Tamandua tetradactyla: one gene and its partners. The main gene of each other region encodes a partner of the protein of the gene in region 2 in a complex. Links are inferred from orthologs where the notes say so. Each region holds a gene or a part of one and is shown on either strand. Other genes may lie near its edges. The genes, in order: LIN7C, CASK, LIN7B and DLG1.

What was found.
Region 1: CASK (region 2) and LIN7C share a complex: the UniProt entries of both Homo sapiens proteins name them as parts of the brain-specific heterotrimeric complex. The link is inferred for Tamandua tetradactyla from reciprocal best matches to the Homo sapiens genes CASK and LIN7C.
Region 3: the proteins of CASK (region 2) and LIN7B are in contact, whole or in part, in an NMR structure (PDB 1Y74), measured with the Mus musculus proteins. The link is inferred for Tamandua tetradactyla from reciprocal best matches to the Homo sapiens genes CASK and LIN7B. Residues at the interface, in NP_001271432.1 of Mus musculus: Ala405, Arg408, Ala409, Glu411, Val412, Glu415, Ile416, Tyr419, Glu421, Asn422, Asp424, Ala425, Glu427, Leu428, Ile431, Leu432, Gln434, Phe437, Ala439, Leu440, Leu441, Thr443, His444, Val447, Ala448; in NP_035828.1 of Mus musculus: Leu10, Asp13, Val14, Arg16, Ala17, Leu20, Leu21, Arg23, Leu24, Ser27, Glu29, Leu30, Pro31, Pro32, Lys34, Leu35, Ala37, Leu38, Val41, Leu42, Ser44, Phe46, Cys47, Ile50, Arg51, Tyr54.
Region 4: the proteins of CASK (region 2) and DLG1 are in contact, whole or in part, in an NMR structure (PDB 1RSO), measured with the Rattus norvegicus proteins. The link is inferred for Tamandua tetradactyla from reciprocal best matches to the Homo sapiens genes CASK and DLG1. Residues at the interface, in XP_038955489.1 of Rattus norvegicus: Gly339, Ala342, Ala343, Arg345, Ala346, Val347, Gln349, Val350, Ser353, Leu354, Glu356, Ile357, Leu360, Thr361, Asp367, Leu368, Phe370, Leu371, Ser373, Val374, Phe375, Asp377, His379, Leu380, Thr382, Leu383, Leu384, Asp385, Leu386, Tyr387; in NP_036920.2 of Rattus norvegicus: Arg4, Asp7, Thr8, Arg10, Ala11, Leu12, Leu14, Leu15, Tyr18, Lys21, Leu22, Glu26, Asp27, Leu30, Ser33, Ile34, Arg36, Val37, Ser39, Ile40, Phe41, Ser43, Leu45, Phe46, Leu49, Ile50, Gln53, Glu57, Val58, Leu60.

Annotation. Positions count from the first base shown.
Region 1 is NC_135334.1:103,337,931-103,344,768, reverse strand, and holds the start of LIN7C (protein lin-7 homolog C), read left to right. Parts: upstream 1-3,828; 5' UTR 3,829-3,954; coding exon 3,955-3,991; intron 3,992-6,838. UniProt on the Homo sapiens protein: Plays a role in establishing and maintaining the asymmetric distribution of channels and receptors at the plasma membrane of polarized cells.
Region 2 is NC_135353.1:130,138,755-130,146,231, reverse strand, and holds the start of CASK (peripheral plasma membrane protein CASK), read right to left. Parts: upstream 3,015-7,477; 5' UTR 2,846-3,014; coding exon 2,787-2,845; intron 1-2,786. UniProt on the Homo sapiens protein: Multidomain scaffolding Mg(2+)-independent protein kinase that catalyzes the phosphotransfer from ATP to proteins such as NRXN1, and plays a role in synaptic transmembrane protein anchoring and ion channel trafficking.
Region 3 is NC_135342.1:12,006,651-12,014,268, forward strand, and holds the start of LIN7B (protein lin-7 homolog B), read right to left. Parts: upstream 3,014-7,618; 5' UTR 2,991-3,013; coding exon 2,954-2,990; intron 2,626-2,953; coding exon 2,507-2,625; intron 2,260-2,506; coding exon 2,188-2,259; intron 1,572-2,187; coding exon 1,362-1,571; intron 616-1,361; coding exon 452-615; intron 107-451; coding exon 85-106; 3' UTR 1-84. UniProt on the Homo sapiens protein: Plays a role in establishing and maintaining the asymmetric distribution of channels and receptors at the plasma membrane of polarized cells.
Region 4 is NC_135336.1:16,123,940-16,130,946, reverse strand, and holds the start of DLG1 (disks large homolog 1), read right to left. Parts: upstream 3,011-7,007; 5' UTR 2,537-3,010; exon of another isoform or gene 2,508-2,536; intron 2,349-2,507; exon of another isoform or gene 2,206-2,348; intron 2,100-2,205; 5' UTR 2,069-2,099; coding exon 2,050-2,068; intron 1,385-2,049; coding exon 1,253-1,384; intron 1-1,252. UniProt on the Homo sapiens protein: Essential multidomain scaffolding protein required for normal development. Recruits channels, receptors and signaling molecules to discrete plasma membrane domains in polarized cells.

The DNA of each region.
Region 1 (6,838 bases), on a different chromosome or scaffold from region 2:
AAGAAGATTATATATTGAAAAAGAAAAAAAATAGTGAACATGAGGATGCAGCATAGGAGCTGTACAAAAGGAAACAGAAGAAAAAAAAAAGATTGGGAAGAAAATGAGACAATGTCTGTGCAAGCCCAAAGACAATGGAACAGCATCTTTAAGGCAGTGAAAGAAAGAATAATGTTGTGGGGCATTGAATCATGTTCCTCACAAAAGGCAAGCACATGTCCCAATCCCTGGTCTTGTGGGTGTGAACCCCTTTTGTAAATAGGAATTTTGAAAATGTTCTTGGTTAAGTTGTAGTGAATCAGGATGAGCCTCAATCCAATATGGCTCACATCCATTTAAGCAAAGGAAATTGCACACAGAAAAAGAAGCCACGGAAGCAGGCTGAAATTGGAAATCAATGGAGCCTGTAAGAGAAAGGAGAAGATGTGGCTATGTGCATTGCCATGTGATAGAAAAGCCAAAGATCCTCAAGGACTGCTGGCCAGCTGGAAGATACCAACTCCAGAAGGAAATAAGCCTTCCAGTTTCTAGAACTGTAAGCCAACACATTGTATGGTATTTGTTTTAGCAGCCAGAAAACGAATACACCTTTCAATCTAGAATTCTATACCCATCTATACCCAAAGATATCGTTCAAAAACTAAGGTTAAATAAAGACTGTTTCAGATAAAGGTGAAGTAATTCATTACCATCTTGACTACAAGAAATGCTACAGGAAATTCTTTAGGCAAAAGGGAAAATAATTACAGATGAAAATCTTGAGCTACAGAAAAGAACAAAAACAATGAAATGGTAAATATAGGTAGGTAAATATAAAGATCTCTTTTCTATTTTTAAAATCTTTTTTTAGAGATAATTGATTATCTAAAGCAAAAACAATGGCAATCCATTGAGGAATTTTATTTTGAACTTCCCGCCTCCCCAGGAGGGGGAATATGGGATAGTACTGTTATAAAGTCCTTAAACTATGCATGAGGAGGTATAAAATTACTTGACTCCAGATTTGGATAAGATAAAGATGTATACAATAAACCCTAAGGCAACTACTTTAAGAAAGAGGGATAGAGAAAGAGATACATGTAAAAAATAGGCCCAGAAAATAAATAAAATAGAATCATAAAAAATACTTAATTGATCCAAAAGAAGATTTAAATGGTGATAAAAAGTAACTAAGTACAGATGGCTCAAATAGAAAGCAAATAGCAAGCTTATATATTTAAATTCAAATTTATCAACAATCGCATTAAATGTAAATTATCTAAATTGGATAATTTTATCCTAATTGAATAAAAAGACCCAATTACATGCTGACTATAAGAAACCTACTTTAATTACAAAGACACGAATAGGTTAAATATAAAAGAACAAAAAGATATACTATAGCAGCGCTAATCAAAGAAAACTCAAGTGGCTGCATTAATAGCAGAGAAAGCAGATTTAGAACAAAGAATATTACCATAGATAAAGGAATAAATGCATAATGATAAAGATGTTAAGAGGAAATATTCTAAATATTTACGCATCTAATAACAGAGCTTCAAAATACATGAAACAAAAATGAACTGTGAAGAAAAATAGGCAAATACATGATTTAATTAGAGATTTTAGCATCCCTCTTTCAATCATTGATGAAACAAGTAAATAGAAAATCAGTAAGGATTTTAAAGATTTGAACAACACTATCAGCCAACTTGACCTAATTGACATTTATATTACACTCTATTCAATAACTGCAGAATTCATATTATTTTCAAATGCACACAAAACCTTTAATAAGATAGATCATGCTTCTGGGCAATATAACAAGTCTTGATGTATCTAAAATAAATCAAATCATACAAAATATTTTCTCTGACCATGATGGAAATAAATTAGAAATAATAAAAAGATATCTAAAAAATCCACAAGTACTTGGAACTAAATACCCATTGGGGGAAAGAAGTTATCAAAAGAAAAATTAGACTATATTTTGAACTGAATGAAAAATTGTGGGATGCACATAAGCCAGAAGTTTTAGGGAACCTTCAATTCTAAAGTCCTCTGTTAGAAAAGGAGAAAGGTCCCAAATGAAAGGACTCAGTTACCACCTTAGAAATCAGAAAAAAAAGAAAGCAAGCAAAGTAGGCCTAAAGTAAGCAGTCATCTACCAAATTTTAGGAAACAAATATTACCAATTCTATATAATCTCCTATAGAAAATTGAAGACGAAGAAATACTTCCCAATTCATTCTATGAGTTCAGCCCATACCAGACAAAGACACTATAAGGAAACTTCAGTTCAATATTGCTTATAAAAATAGATGTAAAAATTCTCTTAAAATATTAGTAAATCAAGTCTAACAATATATGTAAAGGATATAATACATCATGACAAGTGGGATTTGCCCCAGGAAAGCTCAAGAATTTTTACATCTATTTTACATCATACAGCTGGTAAGAGATAGAGCCAGGTAGTCTAAGAACAATGTCTGCATTTGTCTTATTCAACATGATATCCTCAGTGCCTAGGAAGGTGCCTAGTAGACATTATACATGTAATAAGCATTTACTAAATACATTGTAATAGAACAAATGACAATGTAAATAACAGATAAGCACCTGAGTGCAGGGCATAAGGGAGGTTGTATGGGGAAAGGAAGTCTTAGTGGAAGTGGCTGTGTCTTCAGTAGGGATGTGGAGGATGGGTTCAACTTGAGGGTATACACACTTTAGAGAATCAGAGGAGATGTAGAAGAGCATTCCAGGCAAGAAAAACAATGAATGAAAACCTTGTAGCAGGAATAACCATGGTTTTGGGAGGGGTGACGCTTTATGGGGTGATGAGAAACGAGGTTAGATGGGTAAGTTAGGGTCAGAGAATACAAGGCTTTAGAAATAGAAAATAGGAGAGAAACCACTGAAAGTTTCTGAATAGAAACTTTTGATGATGAAATTAGTGTTCAAGGAAAAAACAGAATGCAGCAGGTGACATTCATGATGGATTAGGGGAAGAAAATATTATAATTGGATGGAGAGGGTAGGCTGGGAGCAACCGGGAAGTTGTTAAAACTGTCTTGTCATGAAGAACAGAAAACCTGCATGTGAAAGCACCTAATACGATGTCAGCACAGACTAGGGCTTGGGTAAACGTCAGTAGGATCTAAATATTGGGAAAATTAATACTTCATTTAAATTAGGGACTAAAGTTTTTTTTGGCTCATAAAATTTTCAGAAGTGCTCCTAGGAATCTGTAATGCATTATTTGCTTTATAAAGTTACATTTATACATTTATCAGCAATTAGAAATTATTCTGTGATGTACCACAATGCCTTGTTTTCTCCCTCACCATATGTTTCATGCTCTTTATACTTTCCACCATCCTTTACCTTTACTCTCAAGCAGATTTTTAGGGAAGAGTTGAGTCTTGAGTTTTTTAAATTAAATAACTGCTTACCACAAAAAGAAATCTGCCACGCATAGGCACTTTATTGACAATATTTCATCTACACAATCAATTGCCACCTCAGAGATTGGATTCCTTCGTCGCACAGATGAGGAAACTGAGGCTGAGAGAACGCAGGTAAAGCATTCAAGGGTCAGTGCTGCTAATGGTGACGCAGGGACCAGGATTCCAGGCTCCCACTGACTCCTCTACGCGGCGCCAAGGGTTCCAAGCAGATAGGATAAAGCTTGAATCCCGAGGCAGGGTGCAACAGTCAAGAAAAAGGCTCTTGTCAATCTCGGGAGGCCAGAGGATTCGACAACCGGGCATCTGTTTGAGAACCGATAGAAAACACACCGTAAGAGACTCGGGAGCTCCCCGCACAGGGACTTCAACAAATCCCAGCACTTCCGGAGCCCTTCCTGCTCTCGCGATACCATCCGGCCCTAGCCCGGGGGCTCACGGCCAGGTTCCGCCCCCATCACAGCCCCTCTGTCGTCATTTCCTGTGGGGCTGCGGGCAAAGGGAGAAGATGGCGGCACTGGGAGAGCCTGTGCGGCTGGAGAGAGGTGAGTAAGGCCGAACCGCGAAGAGGGGGTTGGACGGAGTGCTGTGTAGCCTGAGGGGCGGAGGGGCGGCCCGGGAGTCCGCCCCGTGCCCCGCGCTGGCGTCGGTGACCGCGGTCGTGGCGGCGCCGGGCCCTAGCGAGGGTGCTCGCGGTATCCTGACTGATACCCAGACTCCGCCTCTGCACGCACGGTTTGTCTCTTGACATAACACTGTCACACACGCCTTGCCGGCGTTCGCAGGCACACGCCACACACGCGCTGCCTGGATGAGCATAGCAGAAGCAGTGTTCAGAGACGAGTAAAGCGGAGAAAGTAAACACACTACCAGCTCGTACAGACACACACACCACTTACAGATTTCGTTATATAGACCTCACGCCCTACCTGTATGTAAGTGCGCACAAACCCAGTGTCCCCGTCTTCACCCACGTATCGCACACTTCCCGGTCACACAGCACATTCCCAGAAAACCCTATAAACTCCATTGTTACTTTAAAGCACATCCTCACTTTTACTTGGGGTGGGTTATTTCCTGGCTTTGTGCCTTCCTAAGTGCTTTTAAAACGATCCTACTTACTTGGTCTTGGGAGGGTGATTACATAACTGGATCACCGTTTCCTAGGTGGAATAGTGGTAGATTGTAAAGTATTTGAAGATGCACTTCTTTTTTACAAACGCTGCAGTTGCTAGCTGTGGTTGGTTGCTTGTTTTTTATAGAAGACTGTCAAGGAAAATAGAAATTTCTCTTCTGAGTAAAGAAAGAATAAAAAGCCTGTGAAAAATACGTGCCTATACCCGTACCGGGATGTTGTTAGAGATTTTCAGCATTCCACTCTTTTCTCCCCAATTTCTTTATTTCACGCAGTTTCAAGCAAGCTTTGATACACCACGTAAGAAGTCTGCTAAGAACCAAGAAGTACAAAATAAACATTTTGAGTACTAGTACTAAACAAAGCCCAGGATGAAGATTGAAATTATCTTGCAGTGATTAATATTTGCAGTTATAGTCAGTATTAAATAGGTCCTATAAGAAGAATACATTTTTAGAATGATTCTAGGAATACCTCTCTCCTCTTCAAGTCACACAAACAAATGAGCATATTGTTAGTTTGTTCCTTATGGTGTTCACCATTTAGAAATTTCTTACAGATGAGTTTGTTTCTCTTCAGCTTACCAAGGCATTAATTAAAGCATGCTTTCTGACAGAGAAGTAGCTACTCTGAGAAGATTTGCTAAATTAAGCTTAAAACGGTAACATCTTCCTCCTGAACATAATGGCATTGTGCTTTGTAGATGAGAACAAATCTGGTGTTAACAGGAGTAGGTGTTTTTTTCCTTTGAAAGCCAGTTGTAGCATTCTAACACATTGGCATTCATTTGTATTTTAAGTACAGCACAAGATAATGTGGAACTTCACTCCTGGCATTTAGTTTTGGTAGCCATGGCTTTGTTTTTGCTGTTTCAGAATTATTTTCCTTGGTACAGCATGCTCAGCACCTTAGTAGGATGAATTACTAATGATAGCCATTTAAACAGGATGAAAGAGTCAGTACATCAACTCTGATTATTTTGAATTCTGTTTCACAGACTTTATTAACAAACACTTTCACCCATCCTGCAGTGTAAAGTTGCTACACATAATCAAGATCCTGAGCGCCTTCTAAAGCATCAGAATGTGATTCTTTGGGACGCATTTGAGCATATATTAGGTACAATTTAGATTCAATAAGAGAATTTAAAGTCTACAGTCTGTTAATTGGAAGTTTTTATATGGGTTATGTCCTATAACTTTGTAAACAAAAATTTGATGAACCAACAGTCCCCATTCTCCAGCCATTCTAGTAGTGGGAAGTCAGCATGGGGAAGGTATGTTTTTGTTTACATTGCATTTGAACAGCATCAGTTTAAGCTTTTATTATTTGAAACTTTCTTCACTAGATTTACTCCTAGTTTTCCAGCTGCAAACACAAAGCCATACTAATTCTATAAAGCAATTTTTCCCATCCTTCAGTGTAACATAAAATTTAGAACTTCTTCGAATAAAGACAGAAGGAGGCAAAGGATAGTAGAAAAATGCTGCATCCACCAGCGGTACAGAAAAAAATCAAAGTAAGCATAGTTGTTAATAGTGTTGTAAAACGTATACAAATCTTATAAAATATTTTAATTCATAAAATATTTGAACACTGGGCGGGCCACGGTGGCTCAACAGGCAAGAATGCTCGCCTGCCATGCCAGAGGACCCGAGTTCGATTCCCGGTGCCTGCCCATGTAAAAAAAAAAAAAATATATATATATATATATATATATATATACATATTTGAACACTTAGCGTTATACTTCCCAATCAGAATTGCCTAACATGCTTAATGTAGTTGTATAAATTTCTGCAATCTCTTATTATTTTATATAATTAATTAGCACCAATTTAATATTTGTGTTTGCTAAATGCCAGGCCCTGTTCTGAGCACTTTATATTTATTATTTGGTTCAGTCAGGTAACTCTTATGATGTGAATTTGTTGTATCTGTTTTATATTTGAGGAAATTGAGACTTCAGGGTGGTTAAAGTAACTTGTCCAGGATCACACAGCTAGATTTAAAACCAGATGACAAAATTAATTGTTTTTATTTTTTTATTCTGTAAACAAAAGTATTTGATCATGCTGGTCTTGATTAAAACATCATGTTAATGATCCTAAGTTGAAAGTGCACCAATCCATTATTTTCATTCATTTACTATTGTTTTAAATGTGTTCCTGTCACTAGCATCAGGTTATTAAGCAGTGCGTATCTTTGTGTGTGTTGTGTTTTTCTTTGGGAAATGAATAGTGATTTCACTAGCATG
Region 2 (7,477 bases):
CTTGGGAAATTAAATCCATTTTAAAGAGGCCTTAGTAAAAATTTAAAGCTATTAAAACCCTAGTGGTCAAAAACAACTGATGGTACTTATTTGGTATAGAAGAAAAACAAAATTCCACAGACCTTGGACAGACATCAACAAAAATGTTTTTAGTACAAGTGAGCATCTTCAAGGCCTTTCTGTTTAAATTCAGAGTTGAACAAATCCTAAGTTAAAATGATATGCTGTCAACTGTCCCTACAAGAAAATCTCAAGTGAATTTCAATTTTCAGATCAATATATGCTGAGACAATTTACTAGAAAACCTTCAACCTTTACATGGGGTAAGGAAGACTATCATTACATTCGTTACCAATAAGATTACCTGGAATTCATTATTCACGGAGTGGCATATTGTCAATGGAACTGACCAAGTCAGATTTTGTAGGATATGAACAAGATTTCACAGATCACAGTAGTCAAGGTAGCCATAGAATGCCTATCACCTCAAAATTAGCTTGCTCTCTCTCCTCAAGCAGCTTCAAAACCACAAAAGAGATGGATTTGGCTCTACCAGGAGTGTTTCCTAAAACTATTCTATCAATTAAGTCAGCAAATACTGATTGTGCTAATGTGATGCTGATCACTTATTTTAAATATCCTAAAATATCATATCACCACTCTTAAAAATGTTAAGTAATCAGAACTAGCTATCAAAATTGATTCAATGCTGGCTATTTTCAGTCATCACAATATAACCAACATTTTATTCTCACCTTTTCCAATTATGACTTTGCTGGCGCATTTACATCAGATATAACTAAGATGCAACAAACATAGTTCACCCACACACACAGTCATTTTGCTGCTTTGGGGAAACACCTAATTTACCTTCACTGGGTGCTCCTAAAAATAAAGAAACCAAGGAGATTTCTGGCATATTTGTCTCTCTAGAATGGTGCTATTCACATGTGGCCACTGAGCACCTGAAACATCTGACTGAGGAACTGAATTTTGAATTTTATTTAATTTTAAATAATTTAAATTTAAATTTAGAAACACACGCTCAATTCTGCTACTGGAAAACTTTTAAGTATGTTTGGAGCAACTTAGATATGTGAATCTACTTTTTCAAATGTAAAATTTATGAAACCTAAATACAGATAAAGTATTTTCGAAAAGAAAATTAGCTTAGTATGATAATTGATATGTGCTGTTCATGTAAAACATAAACTGGATTTCAAAGACTTCACATGAAAGAAAAAGAAAGGAAGTAAAAAAAATTTTATACTGATTACATGTTGAAACGATAACATTTCAGATTTATTGAGTTAAATAAAATATTTTATGGACAATAGTTTCACCTGTTTTTACTTTTTTTATGTGGCTAATAGAAAATCTTAAATTACATATGTGGCTCACATTCTATATCTTTGGACAGTGCTGCCCTAGAGTACTTCCTCAACCACTTTACCGGGTTATATTTGTATATCCTTCTAGTAGAAAGGCTGGTCATGTAACAATAGGGGCAAGGAGTAACATGTCCTCCTGGCAATTGGGTGTGAGTAAAGTGTGTAGCAACCTCTACTCACAGTTTCACCATTTCATGCAAAACTGTAATACCTCAATATGGAAGGAAAAAAATGAGTTTTCAGCACTTAAACAAATTGAAATTCAGTACTGCAGACAATTTAAAAGAAATAGAGCCTACTGTTCTAAGGTTTCAATTCCCAAATACAGACCTCTGAATAGGCAATAAATATTTCGATGTAGCTACCCAGCAATCTTTATTAAATAAGCCAAAATTACTCTTAAATCTTATCTCCCCAACTTCTAAAGCCAGAGAACACAACGCTGAACTAGGAAATCAACTTCAAACTGCCAGCCAGCATTTCTCTCACAAGCAAACTGCCAGCATTTCCCTTCCAAGAATTGTGCACTTGGAATAGTGTTTGACAAGAATGAAAAGGAAACTATTCAAAACAGATTTAAGGAATGGACAATTAGATGAAGAACTGCAGATTTAATTCTCAATCAGCACTGTGATTAATCTGATTCCATGCCTTTCCCTAGTGTAATTATACAACAAAGATGAAAGGATGAGCATTTGGACTGTCAGTTCTATCTTCTAGACCAGCCGGGTGACTCAAAGCAGACAGCTCTACCACGCTAACCACCACCACCATCAACACTCAAGGAAAGCTTCGAACAAAGTCACCGTATAAATGAGGCATTAGAAATTACGATGTCTCCAACTCTTCCCATGTTCATCTACGCTAGGTGAGGAATTTGCTGAAACTAAACGCACCCCGTCTTAAATGACCCCCTCCAATCCGGACATGGGGTGAGCACAAAGGCATCTAATATCCTGCACAATAGACACACACCCCATAGTTGAAAATCCTGGACGTTCTTCGTCTACCTCTCCATGCAAGCAAAGGAAATGCAAGCTGCTCTTTTCATTACTGGTCTGTGCTACATTCAAGGTAACAATAAGCCCAACTGTTCCCAGGAAACAACTATAAAATCGGTTCTGCCACGTCCCTGTGCAACCATCAGATAAAACGCAGGCAGCAGATTTCTGCCGCCCCGCGCCTCATGTGCCCGACATCGCCTCGTTTGCCTCAACACATCGCAGAGAACCCCAGACCCCGGTCCAGGTACTTCTATAAATACTCGTGGGTGAGGAGGATAAGGGAGGTGGAGGGTTGGGAGGGCAGGGGGCAGGCCCGAAGCGGGTGCGGGAGGACCAGGGCATCCCTGAAATGCATATTCCCACACTCCCGTTGCCTCGCGTGGAGACTCACTTGCCGATCACCTCGCACAGCTCGTACACGTCCTCGAACAGCACGTCGTCGTCGGCCATGGTCCGAAGAGGACAGGGGCCGCAGAGGTGGGGAGTGGGCCTCCGAAAACGGGGGTGGGGGCGCCAAAGAGCTCAGCGCCCGGCCCGGAGATCGTCTCCTCCCCTCGGGACCCGCGAGCCCTCGGTGCTGAGTACGCCCGAGCCGGGCCGCAGCGGCGAGGCCCGGAGACTGCAGCGGAGCCTGCCTCTGCGGGCGACCGCCCCGGCGCGGGCGGCGGGGCCGGGGCGCGGAGTGAGGGCGGCCCGGGCCCGACGCCGCCCGCCCGCCCGCCGCTCCTCGCGCTGCTGGGGCCGCACTGCCCGGAGTGCGGATCCTCAGGGACCGCGCACCTCCCCGCTTTCAGCTCGTCAGCCCTCGGGGGCCGCGAGATCGCGGCCGTTCCCTCTGCCCGAGGCCGGCTCCGGCGCGACGCGGGGCAGCTCGGGCTACAGGGGGGGCCGCGGCAGGACCATGGAGGGAAGATCACCGCGGAGGGAGGTGGCGGCAGCTCGGCGCTGGGGACCAGGAGGCGGTGGCAGAGACGCTCCCTCCTCCTCCTCCTCCTCCTCCACTACCTCCTCCTCCTCCTCTCCCCGCCGCCGCCCGCCCTAGAGTGGGAGGGAGGTTCGTGAGACGCGCGCTCTGTGCGGGCGGGAGCCGCAGCCACCGCCTTCTGCTCCTCCTACTGTGCCTCAGCCACCGAACCTTTCGCTAGCTCGGCGCACGGCTTCACGCACACACCCTCCTCCCTCTTCGGCCGCGCGGCTTTCCAGAACCCCAGACCCCGCCCACTCCAGCCGGTTGGGAGGTGGTGGCTGAGAGAAGTGAACCGGACTGGCCGGCGCATGCGCTCGATGCAGAGCCACGTCACAGCTAACTGGCGGGCGCCGGGAATCTAGAGTGGGAGGGGGGTTGGCCCGCGGGGTTCGCCGGCAGCAGCTGCGGAGGAAGGGGTTGTCTGGGTCATCACCTCCACGCCCTGCCTGCGACCAAGCCGCAAAAGGAGTCTTGGACAGAAGGCCCACCATCGTGCGCACGCTCTCGGCTGTCTGCTGCGACGGGCTCGTAACCACTTATGCACCCCCCTTTCTTTTGTAAGGGCAGGAAGCCTTTCCCAGTTTTGCTAGAAAGGAGGCAGGGAAAGGATACTGATGTATGAAAAAAGAAGACAGGTAGAGAGAGTGTCACTCAAGATTGTGCCAGGCGGCGGATGCTTTTAGTGCCACTTTCTACTTCCTTTATGAAGATGAGGGCTGGGAGAAGGGGTATGCCCACTTACAAGAAAAGGACCAAACAAAAAGCGTCTGGGAAGGTATGCAACAACAAACGGTAATTTCTACAGACAGCTTCTCCCGCCTTTTGCTCCAAACTCAGCAAATACCTATCCAGCTCTTACCCGCAGTATGGACACCTAGAGAGCTCAGGAATGCAGGGGCATACTGAGACTTTAAGCCCTTTTGTATATCCTCCTTCCCTCAAACCCCCAGCACCTAGTCTGCTGCCTATACTCCCTGTAAGTGTTAGACATATCAGGATAAAAAAGCAACTAGAGGGAGTGGATGCACAGGGTCAGCCAGGGAAGGCGGTTCTGCGTGTTGCCACTGAGCTAGGTTCCATTCAAATATGAAGATTTCTGTTCAACTGAGCATGTGCGGAATGAGCAAAAACCATCAGACAGGTATATATCTCACAGTTAAAGCGCAATAAAAAAAAAAAGTCTTTGTTCCTCCGCACAGCAGAAGTGCCCAATTACTTCATAAGTCAGCTTTCAGAAATCATGTGGTAAAATTCTCAGTGTGGTAATTTAAAAATATAATGTTTACTAAAGTTGAGGGGTGGGTGAAGATCCACAGCCTTTTTTTCGCTTCAGTGGTATTTGGTGCAAAGCCTCGACCACTCCCTCAAGCAGCTGAGGAATTTTCCAGCGTTAAGGATCTAGGAACTAAGTCCCCCTTTATACAATGCGGATCAAAGGAAAATTATAATTGCACAAGAAGGCTTTGCTTTCCTCCTTTCCCAAAGAGCTTGTGCACTCTCTAGGGAGGGGAGCTCCAGAGCCTGCGAAACATAGGCCTTCTTTAAGGTACAAGTCCAAATCACTCACCCCCAATAAATAGGTCACTCCCTTCTGCCCTGAAGTGCACAACAACCCTAACAAGTCACCTTGTCGACTTCACTTCCTTTTCCCAGCCCAAATGGGAACTATGCCAAGGCTGTTGACTACTTCATTTTGGTTTTTTATCTTTCACAGGGACCTATGCTCAAAGGGAGAAAAGGACAATTATAAGGTAAAACAGAAAAGAAAGTAGAGGTTAAGGGGAAAAAAAAAGGCGAGGTAGGTATGCTCTCTGCTCATGGAATCATGAGTTTAGATCTGGAAGGAGCCTTAGAGCTAGTCCAATTTCCTCATTATTCCCTCAGATGTGGGGGGATATGGTGGTTGCTCTCCCAAGAGCCAATCTTCCCCTCCACCATTGGATAGTGGCCATGAACTTGAGGTGGGATTGTAATCACCTCACCTGGAAAAGTGGATCCTGATTCATTAAACTAATAAATCCAGCCCTTTTGTCACAAAGATTGACCTAATTTATTCAGCTCTTGGCATTCCATGGCCATGGCTTTGAATGGTTCAAGGTCTTCTGGTCAGCACAAAGCTCAGGACTTTCCCCAACATCACTTCCAACACCCTCTTTCTCCTCATCCCACCCCCCACACCCCCATCAAAATCACCACTCTGGCTTTGAATAAAGAGGCAGCCTCAATTGCTGCTGGCAGTCATCTAGTACCCCTGAGAGGAAGCAGGCATAACATGAAGGTGGAACTCAGGGCAGCAGGGGGGGAGATGGAGAAAAACGGTGTCCTTAATGACATTATTGATCTCCTTGTTCAGCCAAACCTCCAGACATCCTAGTTATATAAGGCAATGAATTCCCTAATTGTTTAAGCCATTTTGAGTTGAATTCCCTGTTACTTTCAAAGAAACCATCCTAAAAATGACAGGTGAAAAATTCAAAGACAAATAGATGTCCACGTCACATAATTAGCTAAACATTGAATCTGAATCTAGATCTCCTAGTCCCAAGTGTGGTATTTTGTCATAAAGAAGAAGTCCTCTGTAATACACATCCCTAAGAATTTGTACTATGCATTATGGCTGGAGGTAGTTCTATGCATCTAAACTAAAATAACTAAGACTTCTTAATGAAATTAGCTCTTTTCTGGATTTCTTCCAAAAACCCAATACTCAATGTATTTATACCCAATGTACAAATGGTCTGGTGTCAATTTAGTTCTGTTTTAGTTTCCACAAAGAAAATTTTAAAGTGACTAAGTGTATCACTTAGATTGTGTTGAGATATAAATAACAATCCTCAACTAACAGTGATTTAAACGAATTAGGGGTTTGGGTATCTTTCTCATGTAGCAAGGAATCTGGAGGTAGGTGGTTGCTACCATTGGTTCAACTACTCAACTTTGTTACCAGGAACCTAGGTTTTTTTTTTTTTTTCACTCTACCATCCTTTACATGTTAGCTTTTCATCCTCAAGCTTGCTGCCTCATCATCACACTATGGCTGCCACAGTTTCAAATACCAAACTGTATTCAAAATCAGGAAGCAAGAGGGCAAATGGGAGTAAGGAAGGCATTTTTTGCTCCTCTCCCATCTGTTATTAAGGAAAGAAAATATCTCTTCCCATTTCACTAGCCAGAACAGTCACATTGCAACCCTCAACTTCAAGGGAAGCTTGGGGCAAGAGTATTTGACTATTCTTGCCTCTTCTTTGGAAATAGGCAATGGAGAAGCAGGTAGGGAATGGCTTCTGGTAGCCAGTCAGCAGTATCTCCAACACTAGGAAAATTACCAATGAAATAATTTCGTATCTCCATCGTAATGTAGATATATACCTTTAGTATATAATTTATAGTCCTTTAAAAATTAGGAAATATCTCATAACTCATAAGACTGAGTTTGGTGCTAAACAAATTTGTTTCTGAAATGTCAGTGAATATCCTCAATGGCTTTTAGGTGTTGGACTTATGGTTGCATTTGATAGTCTCTGGCTGTTGGATTCCCATAAAATTTCAACATGATCCAGAAATAAAAGGGAAAACAAACCCTAGAGAAATATTAGCATGAGAACAATACTGAGGTCAGTGTAGTACAGAATTAATTTAGGCATTTTAGAGTTCAGCCTCATTCTGTAGCTAGATTGTTTAAACATATAAATTATTACTTAATTAATGAATAAAATTTACAGCAACACAGCTCTAAACTGGAATAAAGTTATTGCCTCTTATTATAAATAGGATGTTCTAAGTTCAAACAAAAGACATCATTAATTTCTCCAAAAAAAGGCTACATATACTAGACTTATACTCTGATGCCAAGTTGCAAATCATTTATTTTATATTCATCCAATGAATGTCCATGCTAATCACCAGGCTACAGCTATAAATAAAGCAAACAGGGTCCCTGCCCTCTTTGAGCTTTGTTCTAGAAGAAAACACCTATCATGCAAGTGATACAATGAAAAGTGATGATTGTTAGGGTTGGGGAAGTACAGATAGAAAATAGGGAGGGGACTTAACCCACCCTGTTGGTTAGGGAAGGCCCAACTGAAGAAGTGATTTTTTTTGTTAGCAAATCTACT
Region 3 (7,618 bases), on a different chromosome or scaffold from region 2:
GATTCAAAGATCTTTAAATAAGGGATGGTGACAATAAATACTGTACAGGGGTGGGGGCGGAGATGAGGGTCCAAATCTGTGGTTTTAGCCTCGAGACTCCAAAGACCTGCAAGGGGGTGAAGAGAAGGGAGCCAGGCTCAGTGGAGGGATCCTGGGAAGACATGGGAGAGGACCAGGACCCAGATTCCAGAGGCAAGGGCCCAGGGAAGTGGGTTCCAGATCTTGAGATAGGATTAGGCTAGGACCTCCCAGGGGATTTGACCAAGCCTTCACTTGGGTCAAGGGCCAGGAGGCCAGGGAAAAGAAGCCAGGCCTGGGTCAAGGGTCAGGGTGCCAGGGAAGAGAAGCCAGACCTGGGGGTGGCATTCAGGACCCTGGAATCATTGGCCTGGTTTGGGAGTCCAGGGCTATGTGGGGCTGTGGAAGGTCCCAGCGGTGACAAGGCACTCACGAGTAGCTCTGGTGCTGCTGGCGCCGGCGAGCGGAGCGCATCTTCTCGAAGCGGGCCTCCATCTCCTCCAGCACGCGGGGCGTGTAGCGCACCACCAGCTTTACAGAGCCCTGAGCGGCCTTCAGCAGCTCCACCGCCTTCTCGTGCTGCTCACCCTCAACGCTCTGCAGGGTGGTGCACCCACAGCTGGGCCCAGGGCTCATGGCCCTCTGCCTGCCCCCACCCCATAAACGGGAGTAACTGCTTGTGAGCACAGTACCGTCTCAAAATGCCAAGGCCTCCTGTCCCTATGGAGAGTTAACTCTTGGCTCAGTGTCCCCCCCCCCAACCTTTCAGGTTCTCTATGTCAGGTGTTAGGGATGACCCTATATCCCCTCAGTAACTGAACCTCACCTGCAGGCTCATCCTCATTCCCTACTGCCCTCAGTCCTCAGTTCTATCCCTCCTGCCCCTATTTCTTCTCCTTTGTCCCTCCTTGCATGTCCCAGACCTCCATCAAGGCCAAGCCCTTTCTCTTCATTTCAGAAGAGTACAAGACTCACAGCTCCTACCTGCAACAGCCTCAGCCAGGAATACCCTTTTTCACCTTGTTTGCCTGGAAAACTCCTGTTCATCCTTCAAAACCCAACTCAAACATTCCTTCCTCATTCGGATTGGTCTGATGCCACATCTGCTTTCTCACAAGGCTTTGTGCTTCCTCCCTCACAGCACATCATCTGGATCAGGACTATTTCAGTCAGGGTCTATCTGAGAGGCAATCCTTGAGTGTACGAGCTGAGGCCAATTTCTCACAGGGTCTGCAGCACTGCCCAGCCGTGTGGGCAGTCCTCAATCACTTTGTGTTGAATGAATGAATGTTAAAAGCAGGGCTGTGCCACCTTGGACAGACTATGCCTCAGTCACCACTCACCACACCATTTACGGACAGCAGCTGGTCCCCACGCTTGAGGCCTCCGTGACGGTCAGCCACGCCCCCGGGAATGACGCGGGAGATGTAGATGGGGGAGTTCTGCTCCTTGCCACCCATGATGTTGAAGCCCAGGCCTTCGTCTGTCTTGGGCAGCTCCACCACCCTGGGGTGAGCGTGGCCCTCACTGGCCGTGAAGGCGGCCACCGTGGCCTGGGAGAGAGACAGCATCTGGAGTGGATGGCCCCTCTACGGTGGGCATGCGGCCTGGGGTGGGGGATCTGAGTCTGGGAGGCAGATTGCTTTCCCCAGACATGGGGCGTCTGCCACAACTCAACTCCAAATCACCTGGTGATGACCATGTGCCTCCTGCTTTCACTCTAGGTGCTTCTGATTACTTCGGAAAGAAGTCTCGGTTTCGTGTGTATCTTTACCCCCCAACATCTGCCAATCTCACTTTCCATCAGTGGGAAACAAGCAAGGCCTAGAGGGAGCTGAGAGCCTGCAAGGAAGCTACAGGAAACAGTGTCTAACTATATTTCACTACGATTTCACTGTTTAATGACAGTCACTGTTTTCAACGTATAGATTTCTAAGGTTACCTTCTAGTCAGGAGGGCAGTACTGGTTTCCATTTGTAGTTGTCAAGGATGCCTTTGTAGGACTTTTGTTTGAGTAAAAAACATGAGAGTATTTCGAGGAAATCATAAATTTAACGGTAAGGGTGGTACAAAAGATTTGGCAAAAGGGATGGCTGACACGAGAGAGACACTGAGCTGGCCCAGGCAGTTCGTTCAGACCAAGAGGGATGGGGGGCGGGGGCCACCTACCTTCGCGGTGGCGTGGGCCCGGGTCTCGGCGCTGCCTGTGATGTCCAGCGTGTCGTAGAGCTGCTCGTACACCTGGGAGGGGACGCTGCAGCTTCGGGAGCCGCCGGGTCCCTTCTCCCTCGCACTCAGGGGGCCAGGCTCCCACACTCCCTCTTCCCTCCCACCCAGGGGTGCGCCCCGTCCCCGCAACCCGGGGCCCGAGGAAACTACAACTCCCCAAGAGCCCCCGAGCAGAACCGCGAGCGCCACAGGGCGGCCGGGCGCTGCTGGGACGCGTAGTCCCCGGGCTCCGGGCGGCCGGGCGCCGCGCGGCTCTCACCTCCCGGATGGCGGAGCAGAAGCGGCTCTGCAGGACCCGCTGGAGGGCCTGCAGCTTCTGCGGGGGCAGCTCCCCGCTGCGCTGGAGCCGCTCGAGGAGCTCCACCGCCCGGGACACGTCTGCGAGGCGGGGCAGGGGCGCAGCGAGGCGGCGGGAGAGGAGCAAGGGCGAGCGCAGCCGGACGCCCGCAAGGACAGAACAGAGCCGGTGGGCGCCGCGGTCAGTCGGGCGCCCCGCATTCCCCGGAAGGGCCCCCTCCCGCAGCCACTGTGCGGGGGCGTGCGGCCGGTGCCCCCCGCTGCGACCCGCGGACCCTCCCACGCCCACAGACCGCCCGGCCCGTCAGGCCCCGCCGGCTCCCCGCGTCCCCCGCGCAGCCCTGGCCGCGGGAGGGGTAGGCACGCGGGACCGGGGCCGGGGCGGGCAGGGCTCCCGGGGTGCGCTTACCCCGCTCCAGCCCCAGCGGCTCCACGAGCGCAGCCATGGCACTGCCGCCGCCGCCGCCGCCGCCGCCAGCCGCCCCCAGCCGCCCCCCTGCCCCCGCGCCGGCGAGGGGGGCGGGGCTGCGCGAGGCCCCGCCCCGCGAGACGGGCGCCCCCTGCCGAGACGCGGCCCCGCAGTGCCGGGGTCCCGACCTGCCCGTCTGCGCGTCGCGCTGCCTTGCCTCCCCCCACCCATCGTTCTGCCCTGTTTGCAGTCACTCCCACAGTAGTCTCTGTTTGTCCGTCCTTGCCACCACACCCGTCTGTCCTCTCCATCTGGTCTTATTTCAGCCTTCATTCGACAAACGTATATTGGACGCGGTGATGAGCAAGGCAGACGAGCCCACTCCATACACGGAACTTCGTGTCTAGCGGGAGAGGCACAACCAACTGCGGCTGTGACGAGAATCGGGAGTGGGGAGGGATGACCGAGGAGAGGAAAGACGCCGGCGCAGAACCTGGAGTAAGAGCGCCCCGAGGTGGGCGTGGCCCCCCTGCCGGAGGAGCGAGCAGCCTGCAGAGCCCTGGAGTTTGAAGGCCTGGAAGAAGGGCCCCCGGGGCTGGGTAGCAGAATAAGGATCGCAGCGATTTAGAATAGCGGTGGCATGTGGGCGTCGAGGAGCTTTTACTTCCTGCGAACCCCGTGATCTTCAAATTTGTATTTGAAGATCACGGGGGCCACTGTGTGGAGAATTGGATGGGAGCAGGATTAGGGAGGAACATGGTGTCCTCTTGCACCAGTGCGGAGGTTTGGAGGAGGATAGATTTGGAAAATATCTGGGTATGATTTAGGACTAACCAAATAGTGGAATAGGGAGTGGGGAGGAGGCCTAGGGCATATGAATATATTATGAAGATGACCTAGCCAAACCCCCCAAATTTCCAACAGTTAAAGTCAGGAAGAGGATAAAGAATGGCCAGAAAGGTGGAAAACCAGGTTGGAGAAACCATAAGAGAGTGTTTAAAAAAAACGAGTAGTCAGTGGTGTCGCATGCCAAAGGTAACTGGAAAATGTTTACTGAATGTAAGACATGGAATCATTGGTTACTTTAGGAAGAACACTCTGCAGGTAGTACTGGGGGAGAAGGCCAGACTGAAAAAAATGGACATAGGAAACGCTGACAAGTCTTGCCCCTCCATATTCTGGTTCAGCTGGATGGGGAAATGGATGGGTTCTCACAAAGTGGGGGAACTACAGCAGGTTTGGTTAACCCTGTCTCCTTCACAGTACTTTTTCTTTTATTTCTTTTTTAAAATTTCTATTACGGTAACACATACAACAAAAATTTTCCCATTTTAACCACTATCGTGTATAATTCAGTGAAATCACATTAACAATATTATGCTACTACCAACACCACCATCTGTTTCAACACTCTGAACTCTGTACTCAACAACCAACAATACCCATTTGCCCACTGCCTAGACTCTGATAACCTGTAATATACTTTGTCTCCATGTAAGTGAAATCACACAAATGTGTCCTTTTGTTTTACTTATTTTAGACAACATGATGTCTTCAAGTTTCATCAGAACTTCATTCCTATTTATGGTTGAGCATAATTCCATTGTATGGATATTCTTACTGGTGGATGCGAGTTGCTTCCACCTTTTGGCTGTTGTGAATAATGCTACAGTGAAGTTTTGTGTACAAATATCTGTTCATGTCCATTTCTAATTCTTTTGGGTATATACCCAGGAATGCAATTGCAGGGTCAAATGGTAACTCTTTATTACCTCTTTGAGGATTCACCAAACTGTTTTCCACAGCAGATTCACCATTTTACATACTCTGTGTCTTCACCGACACTTGTTTTCCTAATAATAGCCATCCTAGTGGGTGTGACGTGGTATGGCATTGTGGTTTTGATTTGCACTTCCCTGATGTCTAATGATGTTGAGTATGTGTATGTCCTCTGAGAAGCACCTGTTCAAGTCCTTTGCCTATTTTTTTTTTTTTTAACATGGGCAGGCACCGGGAATCGAACCCAGGTCCTCTGGCATGGCAGGCAAGCATTCTTGCCTGCTGAGCCACTGTGGCCCGCCCCCCTTGCCTATTTTTTATAGGTTGTTTTGCATTTTTGTTGAGTTTTAATTCTTTATAATTTGGGATATTAAACCCTCATCAGGTACATTCCCAAATATCTTCTCCCATTCTGTAGGTTGTCTTTTCACTTTCTGGATAATGTCCTTTTATGCACAAAACCTTTTACTTTTGATGAAATCCAATGTATCTTATTTTTTTCTTGTGTTGCTCATATTTCTATATCATATCTAAACCTTGAGAAAGGCACAATTAGGAGGTCCGTTTTGGGCAATGTTACAGATTCAATAACCTGCTTCCTAATACTGCCTAATACAAGGACCCGAAGATTTTCCCTGTTTCCTTCTGAGTTTTATGATTTCTTATGTTTAGGTCCTTGATCCATTTTGATTTTCTTGTTGCTGAAATGAGGTAGGTGGTGAAATTCGTTCTTTTGTACCATTTCCTGATTTATCAATTTTAGATGTTATTAAATATATTACATATAGGCTTTCTGTTCTTAGTCTTTTCTCTCTCTTCCCTTGATAGTCTTATGGTACCAATTTTTAATGAAGTCAATAAAATGCTAATATTATTACTGTAAATATTGTTTATCCTAGAGCCCAGGTTAGTGTTCTGTGATTACAGTTATTTTGAACAGCTTCTTGCTTTTTCTTTGGTTTCTATCTACCTTTTTTCCCCTTTTATCACATTCTGTTTCTTTCGAACTCTGTCGTAAGATATTTTACTGAATCCTCTCTTTTTATCCTGCAACTTCAATCTTCTTACCCCAAACTGGACCCAGCTGCTCTCTGGAAATCTCTGGGACTTCTCTTCATTGCCCTGCTGAATAGGATCCAACATCTCCATCCTCGTTTTGATGGAGAATAACCCCCACATCATAAAAAGGCTTTCCTTTTTCATTATTTCCCTTATTTTCAAGAAAGTCTGCCTATTTATTTTTCCTAACACTTTTAGTGTTCGTAACATAGACTGCAGGTTATTGAATCTGTAACATTGCCCGAAACGGACCTCCTAATTGTGCCTTTCTCAATCATCCTGTTATTTAGTTAAACTCTTTGTATTTTTCACTGTTTTCTCCTCTCTGGGCCTCAACCTGGATACTTCACACTCTTCTGTCTCTGGCTTACTAATCTTCTGTTCTGCTATGTATAATCAGTTAATAAATTCATCTACTGAATTAATTTTCTTCAGTTTTAGAATTCCCATGGCTTTTTGGGAGGTGGGTAGATTCCAGATCTGTTAAAATTCTCCATCTTTTCCTTATTTTGTGGTTAAAGTCTCACTAACTCCAACATCTGAAGCATTGCTGGGTCTGTTTCTTCAACTTTTTTTTTTTTTTCCCTCTTTCCATAGTTTCATTCTCTAACATGTCTGGTAATTTGCTAGGCGCTGAGCACTGTGTATTAAAGATCAGAGGCTGTGCCAGGCCAGGGCTCCAGGGTTCCTCTGCCCTTGGACAGTAGTGGGGGTGCAGGCAGCGGGCGTGGAGGTGGTAGGGACAGAGGCCGTGGGGACAAGTCCTGAGGAATTGGCTGCCTGGGCAACTCAGCTGCATTGTTATTGGTAAAATGACGTCGACAAGTGAAACGAAGGGCAGCATGCCAAACACTCCAAAACTCTTGAGTTTTGCATTATTTATTTTTCTCTTTTTTAAAAACACAAGAGCATTGAATCAAAGGGATTCTGAGGTTTTTTTAAAAAAAAAAATATTTTAGTATCTTACATTGCTAATTGTACAAGCTTTATATGGAAGCATAATCCTATGATTTTTTAAAAATGCAACTTTATTGAGATATAGTGTTTCATTTGTAATTCATCCAAAGTACATAATCAGTGGCTTGCATTATCACCACATTGTAACCCCATGATTTTTAAATAAAAATAGCGAAAAGATTTTAAAAAAAGATCAGAGGCTGGGTGGGTAGTATCTTCCTCCAGAGTTTTCTTCTGGTTGTCAGACCACCTCAATCCTGGTAATGTTCAGCCTCGGCTTCCTTAGGCTGGTCCATCTCAGTTGTCCCTTACTCCTAGACTGTGGCACTGGGACACTCAACCAGACACCCCACTTTGGAAGGCCTTGAACACCAATTCGGCTTCCCCAGAACTGCACGGCTGCTCAAATCTCTGCTTAGTTGTTTAGCCTTCCAGTTACTGTTTTCTGGTTTCTTGGAGGTTTTGCAATGAGCATGAGCCATTCAGAAACTGCTGAATGCCTTATGGGAAGACTGCATGTACATCTGGGTACTCGATTCGCTCCTATCTGGGAACTCTGCCTTCAAGTCCCAGCTACCGGATCCGAGTTCTGTGAATTCAGCCTAGGGGAGAACTGACACTTTCTGAGAAGAGTCCAGTACCCAGGGTAGACAGGTGAATGCCTTCCAAGAAAAAGCAAGGGTAAACATGAAGACCACTTTCTACGTACTTCCCCATAGAGATTAGCCCCAAGTTCAGCTTACATTGGTTGTTCTCCAATGTCTTTATGGATTTGTCCAGCCTTCATAATTGCTCTGTGCCATGTTAGTCCAACAGACTTTTCTTCATTGCCAATGCCAAAAGTCTAGCTACAAGATAATGTGGGGTTAT
Region 4 (7,007 bases), on a different chromosome or scaffold from region 2:
AAAATGGCAAAATGTTGATAACTTCTGAAGATGGATGGACAAGTACATGGAGCTCATTATATTGTTTTCTCTTTCTTGCATATGTTTTTAAAAGTCTATAATAAAGCTAAATTTTAAAAAGTGCTCAAGTGTACTGAGGTCTTCTTAAAAATCATTTTTATTCTAAAGCATACTTAGTACAGAGCAACTATTTACCAATGAGTTATTTGACAGGATACACTGACTTGAAAGCAGTTCTTCAAATCACACCAACAATTACTCTGCCAATAGATAAATATAAAGCCACCTCTAATTGGGAATTAGGAGAAAATAAAAGTAATGCAATGATGTATTATATCTTATTTAAAAGTTATCTAGTCAGTGACTAATTATTTTAAAAAAAAATTTATTCTTAGAATTAGAAAGGATAAATCTTCTCCAGTTAAATAATTTGCAAACTTTTCAAGATACCTAGAAGAGAGGGTCAAAGACAGAGCACTTTGTTCTATATATCAGGGACTGGTCAAGAAACGAAAAATTTTGTTTTTAAAAAGGATCTAGCCGCTTTAAAAAAAAAAAAAGGCTTAAAAACCACATTCTACTTTACCATCTGCATTCTACAGCTAATTTTGGCCTAGAAAAGGTTAAGTGACTTGCATAAGATCATTCAGTTAATGGTAACATCAGAAATAGAACTCAAGACCCTTGACTACTGGCCAGTTCTCCTTTGAAACAATGCACTACCTCAAATTTAAGTTACACTTACTAAAACTCTGTCACAATTTTCTTCTCTGTAAAATGAGGTTTAGAGATTATTTAATGATCGTTAGACAAGATCACCTTTAAGATCATTTTCCATTTTCTGACTCTATGAATACAAAGTTTAAACTGATGTCTACATTAAGGAAATGAATGTTCTTAAATATAACACAACCCTTCAAACATTTTCAAGGACTCCAGAGAAATGTAAGTCAAATACAGAACAAAGCTAACTACCTTTTGGGTCCTGAAACACATTCGCAAATTCTCCATCATTTAATAAAGATAAACCTTGTTATCAAAGGCCTCTAAAATAATCATGTTGAAATATTTTTGGTTATTAGATTTTTTGGAAAGGATACTGGTGTATCAAAAATATACAACTCATTGAAGATGTTCAAGTTGTTGAATGTCTGATAGATAATCAAGTATATCATTCTCTTTGGTTTCAAATAACTGAATTCAGAGAAGCTTTAAGACATAACATAGTCATAAATAAACTTTTAATTCCCACCTATTAAAGCCTGAAAGAGGTTGCTCTGAAATATGTTAATAACTCGCTCTATAGAACTTCTGAGCTGTCTGTCCTCAGTTTGGCTTAGTTTCGAGCGATAGTCTTCCAAAAGGTGCAATGCTCTCTGGGTATCTGAGAGAAAAAAAGAGCCTGGTTAAAATTGTATATTTACAAGAAATTATTACACACTAGCTATGCAGACAAATGATTCTGCAAGACATCCAAACTGTTCCCAGAATCCTCCAGGTTAATCTTTACTATGTACATGTAGACATATATTCCCTGGAAGGACGGGAAAATTTTTAAACAGATGTTATTCCACAATAGGAAAAAGGTGAAGATGAGCAGTCTGTAATAAATGTGTACTGGTAACCCGCCCCAGTAAAAGATCTGATCAAAATATTACCAACAGTTTCAGATTATCTGATTTACAAAAGCAGATTATCCACAATTTGTCATAATCCAAATCTTAAATGCTTCAAAATACTAGTACTTAATCAGTATCTCACAATCACTCAAAAAACAGCGTTTAGTAAGAATGGCAAGCAGATTTTTGTGGAGAGTTAAGGGGGTGGATTTATTGCCTTTCTAATGGCTTAGAGAGATATCAAGGAAGAAAGTTTAACATTTAGGTGTTCCCATCTCCTGAAGTGATGTGAGCTTAGATTTCCCAAGTAGTAAAGCTAGGACGGTACTGTCTCACCAAACTTACACAAACATTTTTAAAACACAGCAATCACAAAACAGCTATACGGAAAGGTGACACTCCAAAAGAGAGTTCAGAAATAAATTCTCACCTTGCTTCCGGACCGGCATTGTTCTCCAGAATCAGGAAGAGGGCACGCACCTTTAAAAACACAAAACAGAAAGGAAAAAAAGAAAGAAAGTAATCGTGGTTAAGCCACCACTTTCCCTTAAATCGAAAACCTCCCAGCCCCATCTGAGAAGCCTACCTTGCAAAGTTTTCCCAAATGAAAGGAAGAACCTCAAAACCCTGCGGTGTCAATCCTAGGTACCACTGCATATTAAGAGCAGAAAGAAGTGCATTCTTCGAAATTCTTCTCTAAAGCTTCTCCCTCTCCAAAGAGCACTAAATGCCTAGACGTGGGGCCATTAACACTCCCAACTAGGCAAAAGTATCCAGCCTCCCCATCTACTACTTGGGGTCAAGAAGCGCTCCGACCCTTGTTGGCCCCTGAGCTAGCAGCGGCCAAGGAGCGCTCCAGTAAGGGACCAGCTGGGCTGATCACCCCGCCCCGCTGGGGCCCCCAAGCTCTCACTTGCCTTTCTCCTTGCCCGTTTCCTCTGGGCTACTCCAGTGGGGGCCGGACGGGGCAGCTGCCGCTCTCCGCGACGTCCTCACGCCCCACATGCACGCCTCCGCTGTACCCCACACCTGCGGCGCGGCCACAAAGTTCCTGCGAGCGGTGTGCGCTCGGAGCCGGGGTTCGCTCTAGTTGGACTCCAGGAGGCTCCCCAGCCCTGCCCGGCTCCACGTTCCCCCGCCCCGCCCGGGTCTCCAGTCGCTAAGGTGAGGGGGTGAGGGGACAGGATAAGAGCTCCCGCCTGCGGCCGCACTCCCGCAGCCTCTTCCTCCTCCTCGGCCGCAGACGCCGCGTCCTCAGTCGCCGCGGCCTGCTAGCCCCCACGCCCTCACCTCTCCCGGCCGCCCCACCCCCGGAAACTCGGCTCTTTCCGCGCCCCCAATCTCTCTCCCCCCAAACTTTCCGCCAAGATGGCGGCCTCGGAGCCGGACTGCTGCGCCCCCACGTGACTGCTCTCCCGGCGCTCTCAGCCAATGGGAAGTGAGGAGGCGGCTCGCGCCGAGCTCTGGGCTCTCAGCGCTGCTACCTTTGGGTTGGAGGGGGAGGAGAGCGGGGAGGGAGCTGCGGAGCGCGAAGGGGTCGCCGAGAGCGTCTCGAGTGGGCTTACTCATGTAAAGGGGCGGGCTCCGAAGTGGTGCTAAGGACGAGGGAGTTGACGTACAGGCTCTACAGGTGGTCTAGGTGGCCTTGAAAGAGCTCGCCTTTACTTCTCCCTAGCCCACCGGTGCGCCCCGCGGTTTCTGAGCTAATGTCGTTGTCAGGCCCGAAAGGGTCGGGGCGTTAAAGAAAGACGTGACTTCACACCTGATCCTGGGCACACATTCCCAGACACCCCTTAACCTCACCAAACACGTGCTGTTTCCAACTCCACGACATAAGAGTGCCTGGCGCCCCGCAGGATGGATCCCTATTCGGGGTGGAGCAGACTGTGCCACCCATGTTAGGGGGCGGGAAAGGGAGGGAACTAGAAGCGGAATGGGGGGGAGGAGTTAGGGCGGGGTGCCACCTTTACACTGCTCCACTTTGTACTGTTTTTTTTTCTGTTGCTCTTCGCCCCGCAGAGTTTGGAGGCTTTTAATTAAAGAAGAGGCTGCAAAACAGGGAGATCGGTAAATACGATTAAAGTTTGAGAGTTTTAGCAGAGGACGTTTACATCTAAGTATGACTGCATTTAAGGGTAAGTAGAGAAGATGCGTTCATTCATTCGCTCACTCTCTCACTTCCTCCATGCCAGCTTCCCTGCCCAGTCGCTAGTCTCAGGTATTACCCAAGCTCCGCCAGCCCCTTTAAGAGCTCACCTGTAGCCACCTCCTCAGAGAATGAGCCAGCCTCAGCCTGCAAGGCTGGTTTAAGTTTCGCACACACCTCAGAAGGAAACAGAGGGAAGGCTGAACCGCCTGAGCTGAAGAAAGGGAATCGCAAAAAACTCTTCAAGTTGTTACCGAGGTCTTCGAGCTTCCTCTGGATAACAGGAACCTCCCTTCTCTGAGATTCAGAGAGGATTTGCTCAGGGTCACCAGAGCTGGTGACAGGACTAGAAACCTGGAGAGCCTGTCTTTCAAAACCAAAGACTCTTCCAAGTAAACCTAGCAACCTTTCACTGAAGCTGTGTTCATGGGATCATTAAGGGAAGTCTAGGGAACCTTCTGTACTGTAACTGTAACAGCTGTTCACAGGTATACTGACCACTGGGTTTTACTTTCGGATTGCACCTTGGAATCCTAACTTGTCAGGAAAACCCAATGACTTTAGAGCTCATGTAGACCCACTCTTATTTTAAATAAAGAAATTGTGAGGGAAAGCAACTTTCCCAAAGACATACAGGGTTGTGACAGAGCAGCCCCAGAACTCAAGTCTCTTAAGCCCCAGTCAGGACTCTTTCCACTGTGATTTTGGACAACTGGATAGGTTGGTATATTGGCAGCAGATCGTTATGCTCTTCTGGATCAAGCATCATGGGAGCTTGAGTAACAGCAATATTGCATAAAGAAAATAGGACAGAAGAGTGAAACGGGGATCCTAAAAGCAAGAAGCTTAAATAAAGAGATGGGGTTTTCAAAATAGTGAAAATGAATGATGGCATACATGCTATTATCAATACGTCATTGATGAACTGTGAATGTAATGATAAGAAGAAATGTAGCCTAAGAATAGAATCTCTTCAGAATTCAGGAGAAAGAGGGAGGGAAATTTACCCTTCTCCCTCAAAGCCATTCATTGTTCAAATATGTTCACTTAGTAGGCAATGGGGAAAAATTTTAAGTTCCAAGTCCTGCTAAGGATCCACGGTCTAATAGCAAATAGATAAATGAGCTGTCAATGTCATCCTAGTCCTGCCTTAAAAACAAAGAGGTGGTGGAAGAGGAAAAGGAGAAAAGAGGATATGATACACTTCTTTCTTGCTAACTTCTAGCCTTTGGTGGTTGGGTACTGAACTCCTGCTTTATAATGAGAGATCCATCCTCAAATTTCTATATTGTAAATTAATGGGCTCCCATGTGGGTGTAGAAATACTAACCGCCTCTCATTTACGCCCTTATAAAGTCATACTTTATACTGGTATAGTCCTTCAAACATTGTTCAAAGGACAAATTTAACTCATTTTAGTTTCACAGCATCTTATGGCATAAATTTATTGGTTATGATCTCCTACTTTGCAGAAGAGAACACTGAAGAAGAAGAAAATAACCTCGTCTAGGACACCACGGCTTGCTGGTAATAGAACTGGGATTGATCATTAGTTCATTGTTTGCTTTGTTTTTTAATAAAACAACAACAATGTAAATGTGTGAGGGGGGCAGAAACAGAGACAGAAGAAAAGAGAAAGAGGGTGAAGAGAGAGTCTGAGAAAGTATAAAGAATAAGATATAACAAAGCACAAGTCATGGGATAGTCTGTTATGTATTTATCACATATTTGAATGTCTTTAACAATGAAAGCAATTTTGATGTAAACAGATATATAGCCTTTGAACGCAAAGAAATGAATATCCACACCCTTGTTATATGGTATGTCTAAATGAGTTGGGTTTTTTAATGTAAAGGTATATTTTTAAAACACTCTGCTTCCTTCTCTCCTTCCTTTATCCTGACAAGAATCTTTGAGGATTCATAGATACATGGGACATTCAACCTGGAAGGGCCCTTAGCCACCATCTAGTCCCACCCCCTGAGTTGACAGATGTGTAATGTAAACAGAAGAGCTCCCAAACAGCATCAGCACACAAATATCAAAGGACAATGATCACTTTTCCATGATGGAAGAATACTACTGGCATTTCAGGGAGAATCAATCTTCCTCTATGAAACAGAGAGAAGAGAAAAATTTAGTAATCTTTGCTAAAGATAAATTTCTAAGTGTAACCAAATTTGCCTTTCTGCTTTTGAAGAACTCATGTTATTGGCAGAGTTGTAGGATCCCTTACTAAAGTATTAAGAATTGTGCTGAAATCTCCTTACATGAGATAGCCTCTTCAGCCCTCCGGTGACCGAAAGTATCTGTTCAAAGAACAATTTGGTACTAGTGGTCAATGAGAGGGAGGGGAAAGGGATATCGTCTGTGTGAGTTTTTCTTTTTTCTTTTTCTTTCTTTTTCTGAGTGATGCAAATGTTCAAAATCATGGTGATGAATGCACACTATGTGATGATATTGTGAGCTATTGACTGTATACCATGTATGAAATGTTTGTATGCTAAGAATGTTTGTGTGTTAGTATGTTAAGTTCTATCAATAAAAATGTAAAAAAAAAAAAAAAAGAGCCAATTAAGAAATTTGGGAATCTTTCAATAATCACTGGAGGTTCCTCACTGCTGATAATGACCTATGATGTCCAGTTCTACAGGTTTAAAAAAAATAGGTAGCTTCCCTGTGTTACACTTTCAATTACATTTATAAATGTTTTTATATTGCCAGTATTTTCATAGATACCTGAATAGTGGAAAACAAAGAATTCATAAGAGAAGTGTGACATCCTTTATTTCTCAACAGGCCTCAAATGACTAAATATAGAGTGGGGCATGACCTGAATTCATGGTGAAAAATTGTCTTGGTTCTTCTTAGACTTAGCTGCAACTCTATTACCTTTCCATTCATGTTAGCAGCAACATCATAGGCTAATCATGCATTCTATTCATATTGACTTTGATTTACTACAAATAATTTTATAACCATGGTAAGCTAGTTTTGGCCACCTCTTTGTCATCAAAAGAACTTATTTAAAAGAAGCTTTTGATGTTTTCTTTATTTATCTTACATAAATCAATAGTTGTTTTTTCATTGCACTATCAGTCTTCCTGTAAAATAGTATTGAATAAGATGAAGGAAAATATCTTAATCTAAAATAATGTCATAATAAAGATCATAATTTATGACATTCTGCAACAGTTCTATCTTTATCATTCCAAAGATTGTGAATTTGTGCATTTATAGAA